Notamacropus eugenii: one gene and its partner. The protein of the gene in region 1 interacts with the protein of each later gene in a pairwise test. Links are inferred from orthologs where the notes say so. Each region holds a gene or a part of one and is shown on either strand. Other genes may lie near its edges.

Region 1 (8,428 bases):
AGAAAGAGTCAGAAACAACTGAAGTCAATAATTTGATGTTTAATAAATTCAAATCATCTGGAGGATTCCTGTGTTTAACAAGAATTAATGGGAAAATTGGAAGAAATGGAAAGAAATTAGGTTTAGATTAATATCTCATTCCAAAATTCACAATAAATTCAAAATGGATATGTGACCTGGAGGAGAACCAAAATGGAAACTTTCACACAGTAATGGCTAGTGTGTGAATTCTAATGAGATATAGAGACAATCGCAAATGATAAAAAAGATAATTCTGATTACTTGAAATTGAAAATTTTTCTAAGCAAACAAAATTAATGCAACTAGAATAAAAAGTGATTGACTGGGGAAAAAACTTTATATTAAATATCTCTGACAAAGGTCTGATATTCAAGATGTACAGGGTCATTTGTAAAAGTCAATGTAGCTTAGATTAAAACTGCACCAAGATTTTTGGGACTCTCCATATAGGCAACTAAAATATCTAAAATAAAAAAAAATACCCAATAGATATGTAGTCAAAAGATATTAACAAACTGTTCTCAAAAGAAGAATTGTAAACCATTAATAGTCATATGAAATAATGTTCCAAATCACTAACTGGTAAAGATAACAAAAGACAGGAAAAGTCAATGTCGAAGGGGTGGTAGAAGGACAGGAACAGTATAATGCACTGTTGGTGGAGCTGTGAATAGGTTTATTATGCAAAAAAAGTAATAAAAATGTTACTTTTGTTAATCTGACCCAGAGTCTGTGCTGTTAGACATCATCATTATCACCATCACATATATATAGCGCTTACTATGTGCTCTAAAATTATCTCATTGGATCCTAACAACACCATGGGAAATAGTTGCTACTATTATTTTCATTTTACAGATGAAGAAACTGAGGCAAACAAAGGTTAAGTAACTTGCTCAGGGTCACACAACTACTAAGTATCTGAGGCTGGATTTGAACTCAGGCATTGTCGATTCCAGGCTCAGCATTCTATTCACTGCCCCACTTAACTGTGTGTCTCCTCTCCCACACCCCAAATCCCTTAGGCACTGACCTGAAAGGTCAATGACAAAAAGAAAGGTTCTATCTATAACAAAATATTTATAGCATCACATTTTGTAGTGGCAATGAGCTGGAAATGAAATAGCTGCCCATTGATGGGGAAACAGTCAAACAAACTGTGGTTTGGGAATATAGTGGAATCTGATGAGAAACATGAATATGAGGAATACAAGGAAGCCTGGAAAGACACATGTGAACTGATGCAAAGTAAACAGAACCAGGAAAAGAATCCACATATTGACTGTAACAATATCGATGGTAACAACAAAACAACTGCAACCAAACACTGGGAAATTACAGTGGCCAAATGTAGCCCCAAAGAGCAGAGAGGGGAAAGCACCTCAGCCTTTCTTTGTAGAGATTTGGGGGCTTTGAGCACCACACACAACATTAGAGTTTTCAATATCTTAGTTTTGCTGAACTGTTTTTCCCCTTTAAAAATTTTTTGCTCTCTGAATGTTGGGGGGAGGGATTTGTTAAGAAATGTAGGTGAAGCAAAAAAGAAATATATCAATAAAAATTTTTAAAAATTAGTACTTATACTTCTTTCTTTGAGACACATCTGTGATGTAGCTAATATACTGTTATTGCCGTTCTGTTGATGAAGAAAATGAAGTTCAGAGATTAAATGATTTGCCAGAAAAAAAAAAGACATGAAACCAGGGACAGAGTCAGGTTTCTTGACTCCAAATGCTGCACTCTTTCCACTATAAATGGAGGATTTGACTTAATATTATCTCTTTTTTTTCAGATTCAAATTTTCACTAAAATCCTATACCACTCTCTCATCTTGGCATGCAGATGAGTCATCCTGGGTTCCCAAAGCCTCTGTTAGGGAGCACAAGCTCTGACAGGTCCCACAAACTGGAAAGGTTCCTTTTTGGATGACTGTCATATGACTTCAGAGTTGCTGGGAATCCAACGATTTTTTTTTTTAACCATACCAACTTATGAAACCAACTACTAAGACATGGAATGGTCATGATTAAATTTTATTCAAGAAACACTAAATGCCTACTCTGAAACAAACTAAGAGAGCTAAAATGTTTTGATAAGACAGATCCTTACTCTTACACCTCTGGAACTGGAGATCTTTTGAAACATTGGTGGAAAACTGAGGCTCAGCAAAATTAAATGAGATTGCTTCTGATCACTCTTAATCTCAGTGCTTTCTACTTGATGGGGACAGGGATTGCACCTGTGATTACACTGGTACAGGGAATTTCTGGATGAGAAAACTCCCTCTTCCTACAGATGGTCAGCACTTTCTCCTCAACTTATTGTCCCACACCTAGGTCACTAAGCAGTTAAGTGACTTCCTCAGAGTCCCATATTCAGTGTGTATCACAGGTAGACCATGAACTCATTTCTTCTGTGTTCCAAGGCCAGCTCTCTACCTACTACACTGCCTGCCTTCTCCTTCTACTTGATATTGGTAGTTTTGTGGGACTGCGACATGACTCTAGAAAGCTTATTAGTTCTTTCCCCCCGGCAAGCAAGCAAAAGGGTGATAAACTGATGTAGGGCACTGTAGCTTCCCAATAAGAATGAACTAAAGGTAATGGAAAATCATAGTTTTCCATAAACCAGGATGACTCATTGACTTGGAATGTGCTTAAAGTCTTTTCTATTTCCATGTAAGTCAGTGGGTTACCTTTACTGATTCTGGTGTCTGTCTTTGGCTTCAATTCAGGTTGCAAAGGCTTCTGGCTGGATGCAACAGTCTGACCCACCTACCAGAAAGTGAGCAGTTCAGTGCTGATTGGTAGTTGGACACCTGTTGTTGGGGGAGAGAGCAAAGAATGAAAATGGTGAAAAAGTGTGATCCTCTGAACATTCTTTGGGTCATGCCCCATCTGGCTAAACCTAGGAGTAAACAAATGCCAATCTCAGCTCCCTAAGCCCCAAACCAGGTTAGAGAATCATAGAATCACACAAAATGAGCTGTTAGGGACTTGAGAGACCCATCTAATCCCATCTAGACATTTTACAGATGAGGAAATGGAGGTATGGAGAAGGCTTGACCAAAGTCACACAGTTAATAATTGAGATGGGATTTGAAGAAAAGTCTCATGACTCCCACTTAATTTTCTTTGCACTAGAATTTGCCTGAATATACTATGCCAAGAGAGGAGTTCCCTTCTCTAAAGGAGTTAGCCATTTTCTATTGACCTTTGGGAACAGAAAGGGTAAGAACCCAGTCTACAGTGGGTTCCTAGGATTCATCACTTGGAAGAGAACATAAAGATTTGATTTAACCTCTTCTCCAAAATGAGATAAGAAAAGCTTGAGGTCTAGAAAAAGTGGTGTTCAACATCATGTGTTACAGATAGGCAGGCTGGAACTCAAATCTGCAAGTTTGGTGTCCTTTCCTTTCTGACCCAGATGTCTCCCATGGCTTAAAAATTGCTACAGAGAGGCTTGCTGAAATGTTATCTAGTTGAGGCCAATTCTTGCTATTATGGTGCAAGGCAGGGTTGTCCAGGAAAGAAAGACTTTAGGATTCATTCAATCCCATGCAACAATTATCTTTTAAGCAGATTTCCCCATCTTGACCTCAGGGGGCTTCCAGTTAAACTGGAGAATACTGGTAGGCAGGCAGATGGATATATTTTTAAAATATGAAGGTACATATGTGTATGTGTGTATATATACATATATACACACATATGTAGGGGTAGCTAGGTGGCTAAGTGGATAGAGTACCAGATCTGGAGTCAGGACGAGTCATGCTCCCGAATTCAAATCCAACCTCCTACACCAGCTAGTTATGTGATCCTGGGCAAGTCACTTAATCCTGCTTGCCTCAGTTTCCTCATCTGTAAAATGAGCTGGAGAAGGAAATGGCAAACCACTCCAGTATCTTCGCCATGAGAATCCCAAACTGGGTCACAAGGAGTCACACATGACTGAACAACAAATTATATATGTATATATGATTACCTATGGGAGACAGGGACCACGCGGCTCCCCCTTCCCGCGCCCCTTCCCCCCAAGCCTGTAGAAATGGAGAGACCTCAAGGGACCCCCTCACCACCAGGCTCCCCTGCGGCCTAGTGGGCGCCACACGCCCCCAGTTCCTTCAGCCCGCCAGGCCGGCCCGCTCCTATCTTCCAGGGGTAGGTCTTTGGGTCAGATGGTCATCCCCGCGCCCAGGGTCCGCAGATGCCCACCTATCAGTCCCGCAACTGGGTTCCCCCGCCCGCCATGTTTGCTCCTGCTTCGGCTCGTCCCACGCTCCTGTCACTCAACCGCTGCTTTCCCCGCCTCCAATAACCGTCACTACCTTCGGTTTCCATAGGGAAGCGTGGGGGTGAGGCAAGGGCAGAGTCTACTCCCTCTCCTGATTGGCTGCGAGAGCTGCATCGCCCCCCCCCCCCCCCGTCTGGTCCTACCACCCCTCAGCGGGCCGCCGGTTCCACAAGCTCATTGGTCAGCCGTGTGGCGCGAGGAGGTAACCATCTGGGATCCTGCGCAGCCTCGCGCGTGGTGCTAGGTCAAAGGTGAGAGCGCTTCCCTCCTCCCCTCCCCCTCGTGTCTTCCCACTAGGCGCTGATTGGCCGGCGAGGCGCGCACGAGGTGGGAGGGGGAGGGGCAGGGGGCTGGTGGGCGGGCGTCGTTGGTAGCCTAGGCCGGGTGTGAGCCAGGAGTGAGGCTCTCAGCAGTGGTTGTCGCGAGCTAGGAGGCGGCTGCGGCTCGTGGGTGAGAGGGAGCCATGAAGCACTGTGAGGTAAGGAGAGACAAACTCATCTGGCTGGGGGTGGGAGTGAGGGGGGAGGAAGGGCAAGGAGACGGGGAGGAGCGCCACAAGCGCAACGGAGACTCTCCTCAGGATCGAGAAGACCCCTGCCGCACAAAAAGCCCCAACAAAACCCCAAGACTCAACGCAAACCTTAAATAGTCCCGTGACCCCAAACCCCAAACAGCCCCGGGCTCTGAGGCTGAGAGGAGGACGCAGGCGCAGTTAGAGCACGAAGTGCCTCAGGCCGCGGGTAGGTGTTAGTGCGCATGTTCAGGGAGGTGGGGAGCGGTATTTATGACGTGCAGATGGAGCCTGGGGGCAGGGGTGGAGGGTCCCGGTGCGGGATGTTTGGTTATTCTTGTTGTGCTAGAAGCAGGTTTAGTTTTCTCCGAGCTGGAAGAGTCTCTCCTTGTAAAGAAGGAGAAGCTGGGGCCGGGAGAAGGGAAATGACTGGCCCAGGTCACACTGGTAATGAATGACGAGCCTGGCCAGGTTTGGGTCTGGGTGTCCTGAACCCACTTTCCCTTGTACTGTTGCTGCTCTGGTTCATAGCAGGCACCGAGTTGATCAATATGTATCGATTTATCCTATTCCTGGTTAGGAGGAGGTAGCAGTCTTCAGATCCTGGTGGGAGCGAGGAGAACTTGCACCAACCTGGATGCACCATGTACCTTATCAACTGTGTTGACCTGAAAACTTGGTTAAGAAAAGGCAACAGGCTAAATGCATACATTTTATGATTTAATTAATTAATCAATTCCCTATTAAAGAAAACGTTAACATAATGTATTATGGAGCCAGAAATGTTCTGGCTACCCAGTGCAGAAATCTTCTGGCTTATATACATTTTGCCATGAGAAAGGAACTCTCCTAGTTGAACAAATCATAAATTCAGTAAGACAAGACAATTAACAAAGTAATGTCAGTTGGGCCTTGGGATTCCAGGCTGTGTAAACATACGTCTTGGTGACAAGGAAAGAAATCCCACCACTAGTGAGTGGCAGGCTTCCTGCCCTAAACAGATAATTGACGTAGAAAAGGGTAAACAAAGTTCAATAGAAATTACGACCTAAGATGTCTATATTTTCTTTACCATTAATATGCCATAACATAGTATATGTCTATAGATAATAAGATATAAAGGAAAGTCCCATTATTCAAGATAATGTCCTAGGTTAAAGGTCTCCTAAGGAATGTAGAGTCAGCCTTGGCTGGCTTTGTTAACATAGGAAGAGGCACCCTCTGAGTTTGCTTCAGAGAGAACAAAGAGATTATTCCAAAATTTTATATTAAACATTATCAACTGTCACCTGTTTGACGTTTGTACACCTTTGTAGGGGTATAGAATACCCCTTCTCCTGAGCTTGTGCCCTGTGCACTTTGCTGTAATTCTTATTTAGGGGGAAGGTGATAGCAGAGCCTTGCCAACGGCATCTCCAGATTTGTCCTGTCTGATCAGTACAGTTGATAAGCCTTCCTGGGGATCTTATAATCTCAGGATGTCAGCTAAAACAATCTGCCCATTTCAAAATCGATAAAAATGTGGAAAGTAGTCTGTCTTAGGTCTAGTCTAGAACTTGAGTCTTATCAGGCTGAAGTTACTACACATGAAGCCATCAGGATTTAGGCCTTTCCCAGTTCTTATGGTTATGGGTTTTAAAGCATGAAGGCACTGTAGAGATCATCTAATCTTATTCTCTCATTTTATGGGAAACAGAGACCCACATTCAAACAGTAAGTAGCAGAACTGAATTCTAATTTTCCAGGTTTCTTTTATAAACTATATACACTGTCTCTTGATTCCTCAGTCTAGGACTTCTAATATTATGTATCTGTCATCATTATGTCAACCTACTGGATCGTAGGTTCATAGATTTAGAGTTGGAAGAGATGTTAGAGGTCGTATAATTTAACTCCTTTTCATTTTACAGGTGAACAAACTAAACCTGAGAGAAGTTAAGTTACACAATTAGTGAGTCTGAGGCAGGATTTGAACCTGAGTCTTTCTGACTCCAAGTCCAGTACTGTATCCCCTATATTTTGTCTTTATTTTTTGGGAGATGTAATTACTGCTACCCTTTCCCTTTTAAAAGATTTTTGTGAGAATTCCTCCTATAGGTCCTTAACCATTTTTTATTCATCTATAAGATAAAAGACATCTAGGTGGTAGAGTGAATAGAGCACCAGGAGTCAGGAAGACCTGAGTTCAAATTCAGCCTTAGATACTTATTAGACTGTGTGACTCTGGGTAAGTTAACTGTTTGTCTCAGTTTCTTCATCTGTAAAATGAGCTGGAGGAGGAAATGGCAAATCAGTCTCTCTGCCAAGAAAACTTCAAATGAAGTCACAAAGAGTTGGGCACAATTGAAACAACTGAACAAGATTAAGGGGGTTGGATCAGATCTCAAAGTTCACTTAACTTTATGATTGTTATGTCTTTGTAAAATAGTTTCCTTCTCCTTTTCCTTGCCCTTGTTGTAACATTTGTAAAAAAAGTAAGGTTTCATTTGACATGTAGAATTCATCATATATGCTAAAGTTAATTAGGCTGCTTTTGGGTTTTGTTGTATTTAATACCATTGAAATTAAAATAGTTCCCCCTTCACAGGGTATAATTACACAGAAGAAATTACACTCACCTGCAACTACTCCCATTTCTGTCTTCTAACAATGAGATCACTTGGTTCCTTTTAAGAAAGATGTTGCTTTGTATCCACTGTTCAGAATGACTGAACGTTGACTGGATTTGGGGACAATGCATTATTATTTGTTGATAATTCATCAACATCTTTGAATGTGTTCTTGCCTGCTGAGAGGGGATAGCACTTTTAGGTTCTGTAGTTTATAGAGGAGCCTGTGTGTCACCAGCCCCTTAAACTGGCAACCACAGAACTAATTAGAGCTAGGTTTTCCAAGACAGATTTGCCTGTGAAACAAAACAATTTGGGGTCAGCTCTTGATGAAATTCATAAATCTAAGGGATCATAGTGGAGAGGACATGTAGCTTTTAAAGCCACGAATAACTGTAAAAAGTTGGATAGAATCTTAGAGGCCTCCCTTTGTTTTACAGTTGAAGAAGCTGCAGGCCTAAGAGGTTAAGTAACTCCCTAGGTTACACAGTAAGAAGTTAAGCTGGGAGGAGCACCTAGGTCCTCTGACTTCTAATCCTTCATTTTGTCTAGTTGCCTTTATCCGTGTAATAAAGCAAAGGTTGAGGAAATTTGGGAGCAAAGCAGGGGAAAGTAAGCCTATTTTCATATAGAAAAATTGCTTCAAAAATAAATTTTTTTTTTACCCAACTTAGTATCTCTAGTGTTTAACAGAACAGGAACTTAATAAATGCTTGTTGAAGGAATGACTGTTTCCAGGAAAGTATTACTCTTGATAGTTCATAGGGTGAATATAATGCCATGAGGTGACTGGAGACCAAGTTATTCTGGAAAAGAGGAGAGAAGACTTAGCTAGGGGCATGCTTTCTTCACATTTTGGAGGGCTGTTTGTATAGAGGAGTGATTGAACTTGTTATGATTGGTTTACTGAGGGCAGAACTAGCAGAGACAGGGACATCTTTGTGAGAGGTAGATTTCATCTCTGTAATAGAGATGTCGAAAAATAATATGGATT
Region 2 (7,891 bases), on another chromosome or scaffold:
TCAAATTGCTTTTCCTAGTAATTTATGGCTTTAGAGATGCTTTATCTCCATTTCCAAGGATCTAAGGCTCTTCAAATGACAGTGTTAAATTACTCTGCCACCAGCTTCCAGCCTCTCTGTAAATAGATATTTCAGGGATCTGTGATTATCGACATGGTTACTTCCTCCATCAAGACAGACTGCAACTTCCTCTGTGCCTTAGTTTTTATGAGTTGCTGCAATAAAAGAAGTTTACCATCCTGCTGCCAAGTTAGTGGTAAGCCTTTCTGATCTTAGGTTGGTCTTCAGAAGAAGGACATACAATCTATCACTGAGTCCACACTCAAAGCTTTTTAAAAAAACATTTTTTTCCCAATTAATTAAGATGGGCCTTCTCTCCCTCCTTCTTCTCCCCTATCCTCAAACCACTGAAGAAGAAAAACAAAGCCCATCACAAACATGTATAGGCAAGCAAAACAAATTCCCACATTGGCTACATACCAAAAAAATGTCTCCTCCTGCACTGATACATCTTGACCTCTGACAGGAAGAGAATAACATGTTTCAACATCAATCTTCTGTACTTGTAGTTGGTCATTTTGTTGGTTGGAGCTCAGTCTCCCTAAGCTGCCTTTACAGCAACATTATTAAACAAATTGTTCTAATTCTGCTCACTTTACTTGGTCATCGGTTCACAACAAGCTTTTTCAGGTTTTTCTCAAACCATCCCCTCTTCATTATTTCTTATTGCAAAATAGTACTCCTCGAAGGAGGAGTCAAGATGGCAGAGTAGAAAGATACACATATGCTAACACAGCCCATAAATTACCTGTAAAGAAGAATTCCCAACAAATTCTGAAGCAGCAGAAGCCACAGAACAATGGAGTGGAGGAGATTTCTGTTCCAGAGAGCCCTGAAAAACTGACACGAAAGGTCCGTTGCACCCGGGACCCAGAGTAGAGCCCAGCCTTGTCTCAGCCAGGGCACCAAGAGGAGCAGATCTGAGCAGGCTTCAGGGACAGAATCTCTAGCAGTCGCGCAGGTCCCTCCACCCACAGGGGCAAAGGTCAGTGAGAGGGTCTCTTTGGGTGGCTGAGAGGGGAGTGGGGTGTCTCCATAACTCAGGCCCCCTTGGGAGGCAGCAGCAGAGGCAGCAGCAGACAAGGGCTGCCAAAGCAGGCAGGAGCTCAGATCCATTGTTGGAGGTCTCCCCATAAACCCCCTGAGGGAACTGAGCCCCGGGAAGCGGCCCTGCCCCCACCTGAGCACCTGAACTTAATCTCATACTGAATAGCAGCCCCACCCCTGCCCAAAGCCCTGAGGCTGGGAAGCAGCATTTGAATCTCAGACACCAACCGATAGCTGGGTGGATCTGGAGGTGTGGTGGGTGTGAAGAGGAAGCTCAGAAGTCAAGTCACTGACTGGGAAAATGCCCAGAAAAAATAAGACCATAGAAGGTCACTTTCTTGGTGAACAGATACCTCCTCCCATCCTTTCTGATGAGGAAGAACAATGCTTACCATCAGGGAAAGACATAGAAATCAAGGCTTCTGTATCGCAAACATCCAAAATAAATATTCAATGGGCTCAGGCCATGGAAGAGCTCAAAGAGGATTTTGAAAATCAAGTTAGAGAGGTGAAGAAAAACTGGGAAGAGAAATGAGAGAGATGCAAGAAAAGCATGAAAAGCAGGTCAACACCTTGCTAAAGGAGACCCAAAAAAATGCTGAAGAAAATAACACCTTGAAAAATAGGCTAACTCAATTGGCAAAAGAGGTTCAAAAAGCCAATGAGAAGAAGAATGCTTTCAAAAGCAGAATTAGCCAAATGGAAAAGGAGGTTCAAAAGCTCACTGAAGAAAATAGTTCTTTCAAAATTAGAATGGAACAGATGGAGGCTAATGACTTTATGAGAAACCAAGAAATCACAAAACAAAACCAAAAGAATGAAAAAATGGAAGATAATGTGAAATATCTCATTGGAAAAACAACTGACCTGGAAAATAGATCCAGCAAAGACAATTTAAAAATTATGGGACTACCTGAAAGCCATGATCAAAAAAAGAGCCTAGACATCATCTTTCATGAAATTATCAAGGAAAACTGCCCTGAGATTCTAGAACCAGAGGGCAAAATAAGTATTCAAGGAATCCACCGATCGCTGCCTCAAAGAGATCCAAAAAGAGAAACTCCTAGGAACATTGTGGCCAAATTCCAGAGTTCCCTGGTTAAGGAGAAAATATTGCAAGCAGCTAGAAAGAAACAATTCAAGTATTGTGGAAGTACAATCAGGATAACACAAGATCTAGCAGCTTCTACATTAAGGGACTGAAGGGCATGGAATAGGATATTGCAGAAGTCAAAGGAACTAGGACTAAAACCAAGAATCACCCACCCAGCAAAACTGAGTATAATACTTCAGGGGAAAAAATGGTCTTTCAATGAAATTGAGGACTTTCAAACATTCTTGATGAAAAGACCAGAGCTGAAAAGAAAATTTGACTTTCAAACACAAGAATGAAGAGAAGCATGAAAAGGTAAACAGCAAAGAGAAGTCATAAGGGACTTACTGAAGTTGAACTGTTTACATTCCTACATGGAAAGACAATATTTGTAGCTCTTGAAACTTTTCAGTATCTGGGTAGTTGGTGGTATTACATACATACACACACACACACACACACACACACACAGAGCACAGAGTGAATGGAATAGGATGGGATCATATCTTAAAAAAATTAAATTAAGGGGTGAGAGAGAAATATATTAGGAGGAAAAAGGGAGAAATGGAATGGGGCAAATTACCTCTCATAAAAGAGACAGGCAAAAGACTTTTTAGTGGAGGGAAAAAGAGGGGAGGTGAGAGAAAAACATGAAGTTTACTCTCATCACATTCGACTAAAGGAAGGAATAAAATGCACACTCATTTTGGTATGAAAACCTATCTTACAATACAGGAAAGTGGGGGAGAAGGGGATAAATAGGGTGGGGGGATGAGGGAGGGGAGGGCAATGGGAGAAGGGAGCAATTTGAAGTCAACACTCTTGGGGAGGGACAGGATCAAAAGAGAGAATAGAAGCAATGGGGGGCAGGATAGGATGGAGGGAAATATAGTTAGTCTTACACAACACAACTATGATGGAAGTCATTTGCAAAACTACACAGATATGGCCTATATTGAATTGCTTGCCTTCCCAAAGGGAATGGGTGGGGAGGGAGGGATGAAGAGAAGTTGGAACTCAAAGTTTTAGGAACAACTGTCGAGTACTGTTCTTGCTACTAGGAAATAAGAAATACAGGTAAAGGGGTATAGAAAGTTATCTAGCCTACAGGACAAAGGAGAAGATGGGGACAAGGGAAGGGAGGGATGATAGAGGAGAGGGCATATTGGTGATAGGGGAAATTGGAATGCTCAGTGATTTGGGGTGGGAGGAGGGGACAAATGGGGAGAAAATTTGGAACCCAAAATTTTGTGCAAATGAATGTTAAAAGTTAAATAAATTTTTTAAAAAGTAGTACTCCTCACCATTCATACATCCTAACTTATTCAGCCATACCACAATTGATGGGTAACCCATTACCGATTATTGTAAACACAAAAGAGCTATTATATTTCTGTATCTATGGTCCTCTTCTTTTTCTTTTGACTCTCTTTGGGGCACAGAACTAATGTTGGTATTGCTGGGTGGTACATAGATTAATAACTTCTGGGACACAGTTCTAAATTCCTTTTCAAAATGACTCAACCAGTTCAATTCCATCAGCAGTGCATTCATGCACCTGTTTGTTTTCCACTACCCTTCAGCACTTGTCACTTTCCTTTGTGTCAATCTAATAATGGGTGTGAGGTGGAACTTCAGAGTTGTTTTAATTTGCATCTGTCTATTAGTGATTTAGGGCATTTTTTTCATGTCTATTGACAGCTTGGATTTCTTCCCCTGAAAAATGACTAATCATATCTTTTCATCATTTTTATCAACTGGGGAATGGCTTTAAAGCTTTTCCAATGTGCGATAAGCCCTGTCAGAGCCCTTAACTCACTCTCAGTCTTTGAAGACAAGGTGACCTCTGCCACAAATGAGAACCTAGAAATTTAATGTGTGTAGGATTTTAATAAAAGGTCAAGTACATCTATACCTAAATAGACATGAATTACCATCGATGTTAACAGTCCTATGAAAAATGCAGAGGAAGTTTTACTGGTTGGCAGATGAAAAAACTGAAGCACAGAAAAATTAAATGACTCCCACAGGAAGTAGCAGTTCTACTAAACCCTGTCAGTTCTGCGTACTTCCTCATACACACTACTAACAAGCATTTCATTTTTTAAAATATATTTTATTTCATTAAATATTTCCCAATTACATGTAAAAAAATGTAAACATTAAAAAAAAAATTTTGGAGTTCTAAATTCTTTCCCTCCTTCCTTGACAATGTCTCCCACCCCCTGAGAAGGCGAGCAATATATCGATTACACATGTGAAGTCCTGCAAAACATATTTCCCTATTACCCATGTTGCAAAAAAAAAAAAACCAGTGCCCCTAAAGAAAATTAATAAAAAATTTAAAAGTACCCTTCAGCCTGCACTGAGTACATCACTCATCTCTCTGGAACATTTTTCCTCGTGGGTTCTCTGGAATTTGTCTTGGATTATTCTGATCAGAGAAACGCTTTGAAGGAAACTTTTTGTAAAGCAGATATTCCCCATTCATGGATTTCCCAAGCACGCTGTCTAAACTAGACTTTGTTTTAAGCTGAGCATTCAATTTCACACGTGTTGATTGGAGATGATTTCTGCCACCAGCTGAATTCCTTCTAAAAGGCAGGAATCGGAGAAAGGGGCACTCCAGGGACGCCCCGGGAAACGGAGAAGGGCTTTTTACTCGAAAACCCGGGGGCAGGGCTGTTTTCCGTGCTCGGCTCTCCCCCGGACAAAGGGTTCGTCCTTACAATGACAGAACACCCCGTCCTTTTCCCCACCCCACCCCCAGGGCCTGCGTTGCTAGCCTCGCAGATGTGGAGAGCAAGGCACGCCCCCTCACCCGCTGCTGCCCGTCTACCAGGGAAAATACGGTAACCCGGGGTGAAGCCCCAAAGGCGACCATTCCTTAGGCGATCAGGAGCACGGGCTTCCAGGCAAGCCTCGGCCCCCGGACTATCCCGGGGAAGGCGTCCTTTTCCGCCCGGAGAACCTCAGTTTCCCTCATATGTAAATGAAGGAGGGGCGGGGCTGAGAATTCAAAAGGCCCCTTTCTCACTTGACTTCCTGTGACTCTGCGTTCTCAAGCCCTCCCTCGATTCAGCCAAACGGACGTGAAAAGAATAAAACGAGAGGCTGGAAGGTACAAAGTCCTCGGCGTCTTCCCCTTCACTTTCAGGAAGCGGACACACCTCCCCGCCCGGGGCATGACGTTAGCCAATCGCCACAGCGAGCGCGAGGCCCGGGCAACGAGTGCCTCGCTGGGTCAAAAGCGGCCCTGCCTGAGGTCTGGAAGGGGTGGGGCTACGTTCGCTTGCCCTCATCCAACATGGCGCGCCGGGAAGTGGAGAGAGGCGCATCGTTTGGCCTTGCGGGTCAGTTTCCCTGATCAAAGATGGCGTCTAAGGCGTTCTTTCCTTCCCTTCCCCCCTCCACCCAAGCGCTCCTCCCCGACCCCTCCCCGTCACGCGGGCCCCGCCTCCCACTCCTCAAAGCCGTCCAGCTTCCAGTCTCCGGGCCAGGCGCACTCGGTGGCGCGTTCTCTCCACCCGGGGCAGGTAGGGATCGTCTCTTTGGACATGGCGGCGACTGCGGCGGCGTCGGGGTCTTCGGCGACTGGGACGAAGGGAAATGGGAGCGGCGGCCGGCCTGGGCCCAGTGAAGCCGGCGGGCCGCGGAAGAAGAAGGGGCCGGGGCCCCTGGCCACCGCGTACCTGGTCATATACAATGTGGTGATGACTGCGGGGTGAGGAGGGGAAGGGGCCGCAGGTGACAGGGGCGGGGGATGGGGTGGGAGGGAGAGTTGAACCTGGGCGGGGGGGGGGGGGTCCCCCCGCGAGCCCGGAGACCTCCAGCGAGCATGCGCCCTGACTGCGGGCGTCCCTTCATTCATTCATTCTCTAACCTGTTCCACGAAGCGGGACTACGGAGCTGGGGCTGAAAAGATGAATGAAGCCAGCCCAGCCCCTGCCCCCCGGGGCTCCGCGCGTCCTTACGGAGGAGCGAGTCTGGTGCGGGATTTAGGGATGGGCGGGGGAGGGAACGCCGAGAGCAAAGGGCCGAAAGGGAGTGGACCGAGCCCGAGAGGAAATCGGGGAGGATGGGCAGGCAGTGTCCATTAAAAACCGATGGTGCGAAGCCTGGAAACGCAGAGGAGCTGGTTGAAGGTTTTGGCCGGGGTGTGTAGAAGCGATCCCAGGGGAGGGAAGCTGGAGGAAAACAGACTTGTGGGACAGAGAGTCTGGGTTGGGGGGTGGCATGGGAGAGACCCAGGAGATGGGGAGCTGAGTGTCTTGGGAGGCAACTGCAAAGATTCCCACCCGAGCTGGTTTTAGGGAGGCAGAAGGTCTAATATATGGAGGACTTTTTTTTTCTTCTTCTATGTATGGGAAAGACAGAGGCTTATCGATATAAAAAGGGCCAGAGAGGAGTTTGAGAAATTCAGATTGTAGCCGAGTGATCAGAAGGGAATCTTAATAACATAATCTGGAGTATGAATTGGGGGGAGGGGGAGGTGTCTTCAACTGGGAAGAATTTGAGTAGATTGAGAAAAATTAACCTATTGCCAGGATGTTGATAACTTACTTTTCTTTCTTTTGGGAAGTCTTAAAACAAATTTTTTTTTGTCCCTCAAAGGACCTAGTACAGTGTTTTGCACATTCTTTGCACTTAATGATTATTACCACTACACTTGGTGCCTAATGAATACCTGATTTGGAAAAAAAAAATCATTTAAACATTTAAAGAGACCTTAATTTTTTAGTATTCTTAAAATGTCACAGATTCAGTCTAATGGGGGAAAGACTGCTGAACTAGTAAAAACTCTGAATGTAGACCCAAAATAGTAAACTTTCAAGGTATAATAGTCAAAATAGACTAAAATGTTCTCAGAGGTTTCTAGAAAACTTTAATGAACCGACTGCATGTGCCAGTTTGAGGATTTGGAAGTACTTAAGGATCCCTTAAAATCATTGTTTTGATGTTTATTTTTTGGTTCCTCAGTTGTTGGAAAGTCAATTTCAACCCTGTTTGGGCAGTTTTGAATCCATTATCATAGGAATTGAAGAGGTTTACCATAATTCACAGAGAATTAGAAGTGTTCTCTGAGTCCTGGACATGGGCTGTATAGATGAACTGAACAGGCCGACCAGCCAGGAATGGTGCCTGTGCCACTGCCTAGTGCCCTTTCTCAGGCTTTTCCAAAGTACGCTCTGCAGCTTCAGACATTTGGGCATAGATGTGCACTTCTCTCTACCTTGGGGCATCAGTTATTAGGCTTCTGTCCAGAGCTACATTCTAATTCGGAGGGTTAGTTGGAGGTGGGCAAGAGGAAGGACTGAACTTCGTTTCCCAGTGGGGTTTCCATCTTTGGTTGGTTGGGAGCTGGACCAAAGTGTTTATATTAAACCATCTTTTCTTTCATTATCAATACTCAGGATAAAAAAGTATTTTATCCAATTTTACTATTTTTCTTGGTATCAAGTACTGATGTTAATATTAATTCTTACTACTTTTCACTGTAAATATATTATGACTTTTTTGGTTTGGCCAAAGAACTTCCACAGCTTCCCCTTCACTTGCACCTCTCCATTTTATAAAATTATTTCTTTGGGGAAATGCATTGTGAGTTCAAAGCAACTGATTTCTAAATGAACATTTGGAACTCTACTAATTCATAAGTTGGAAACTACCCGATTTCTTCAGTAAATAGTA

What was found.
Region 2: the proteins of TECR (region 1) and HACD2 interact in binary tests that used the Homo sapiens proteins (3 or more experiments, as listed by UniProt). The link is inferred for Notamacropus eugenii from reciprocal best matches to the Homo sapiens genes TECR and HACD2.

What each region holds. Positions count from the first base shown.
Region 1 is NC_092875.1:76,420,852-76,429,279, reverse strand, and holds the start of TECR (very-long-chain enoyl-CoA reductase), read left to right. Parts: upstream 1-5,099; 5' UTR 5,100-5,109; coding exon 5,110-5,272; intron 5,273-6,521; coding exon 6,522-6,538; intron 6,539-8,428. UniProt on the Homo sapiens protein: Involved in both the production of very long-chain fatty acids for sphingolipid synthesis and the degradation of the sphingosine moiety in sphingolipids through the sphingosine 1-phosphate metabolic pathway.
Region 2 is NC_092876.1:340,377,091-340,384,981, forward strand, and holds the start of HACD2 (very-long-chain (3R)-3-hydroxyacyl-CoA dehydratase 2), read left to right. Parts: upstream 1-4,306; 5' UTR 4,307-5,385; coding exon 5,386-5,924; intron 5,925-7,891. UniProt on the Homo sapiens protein: Catalyzes the third of the very long-chain fatty acids (VLCFA) elongation four-step cycle (condensation, reduction, dehydration, and reduction).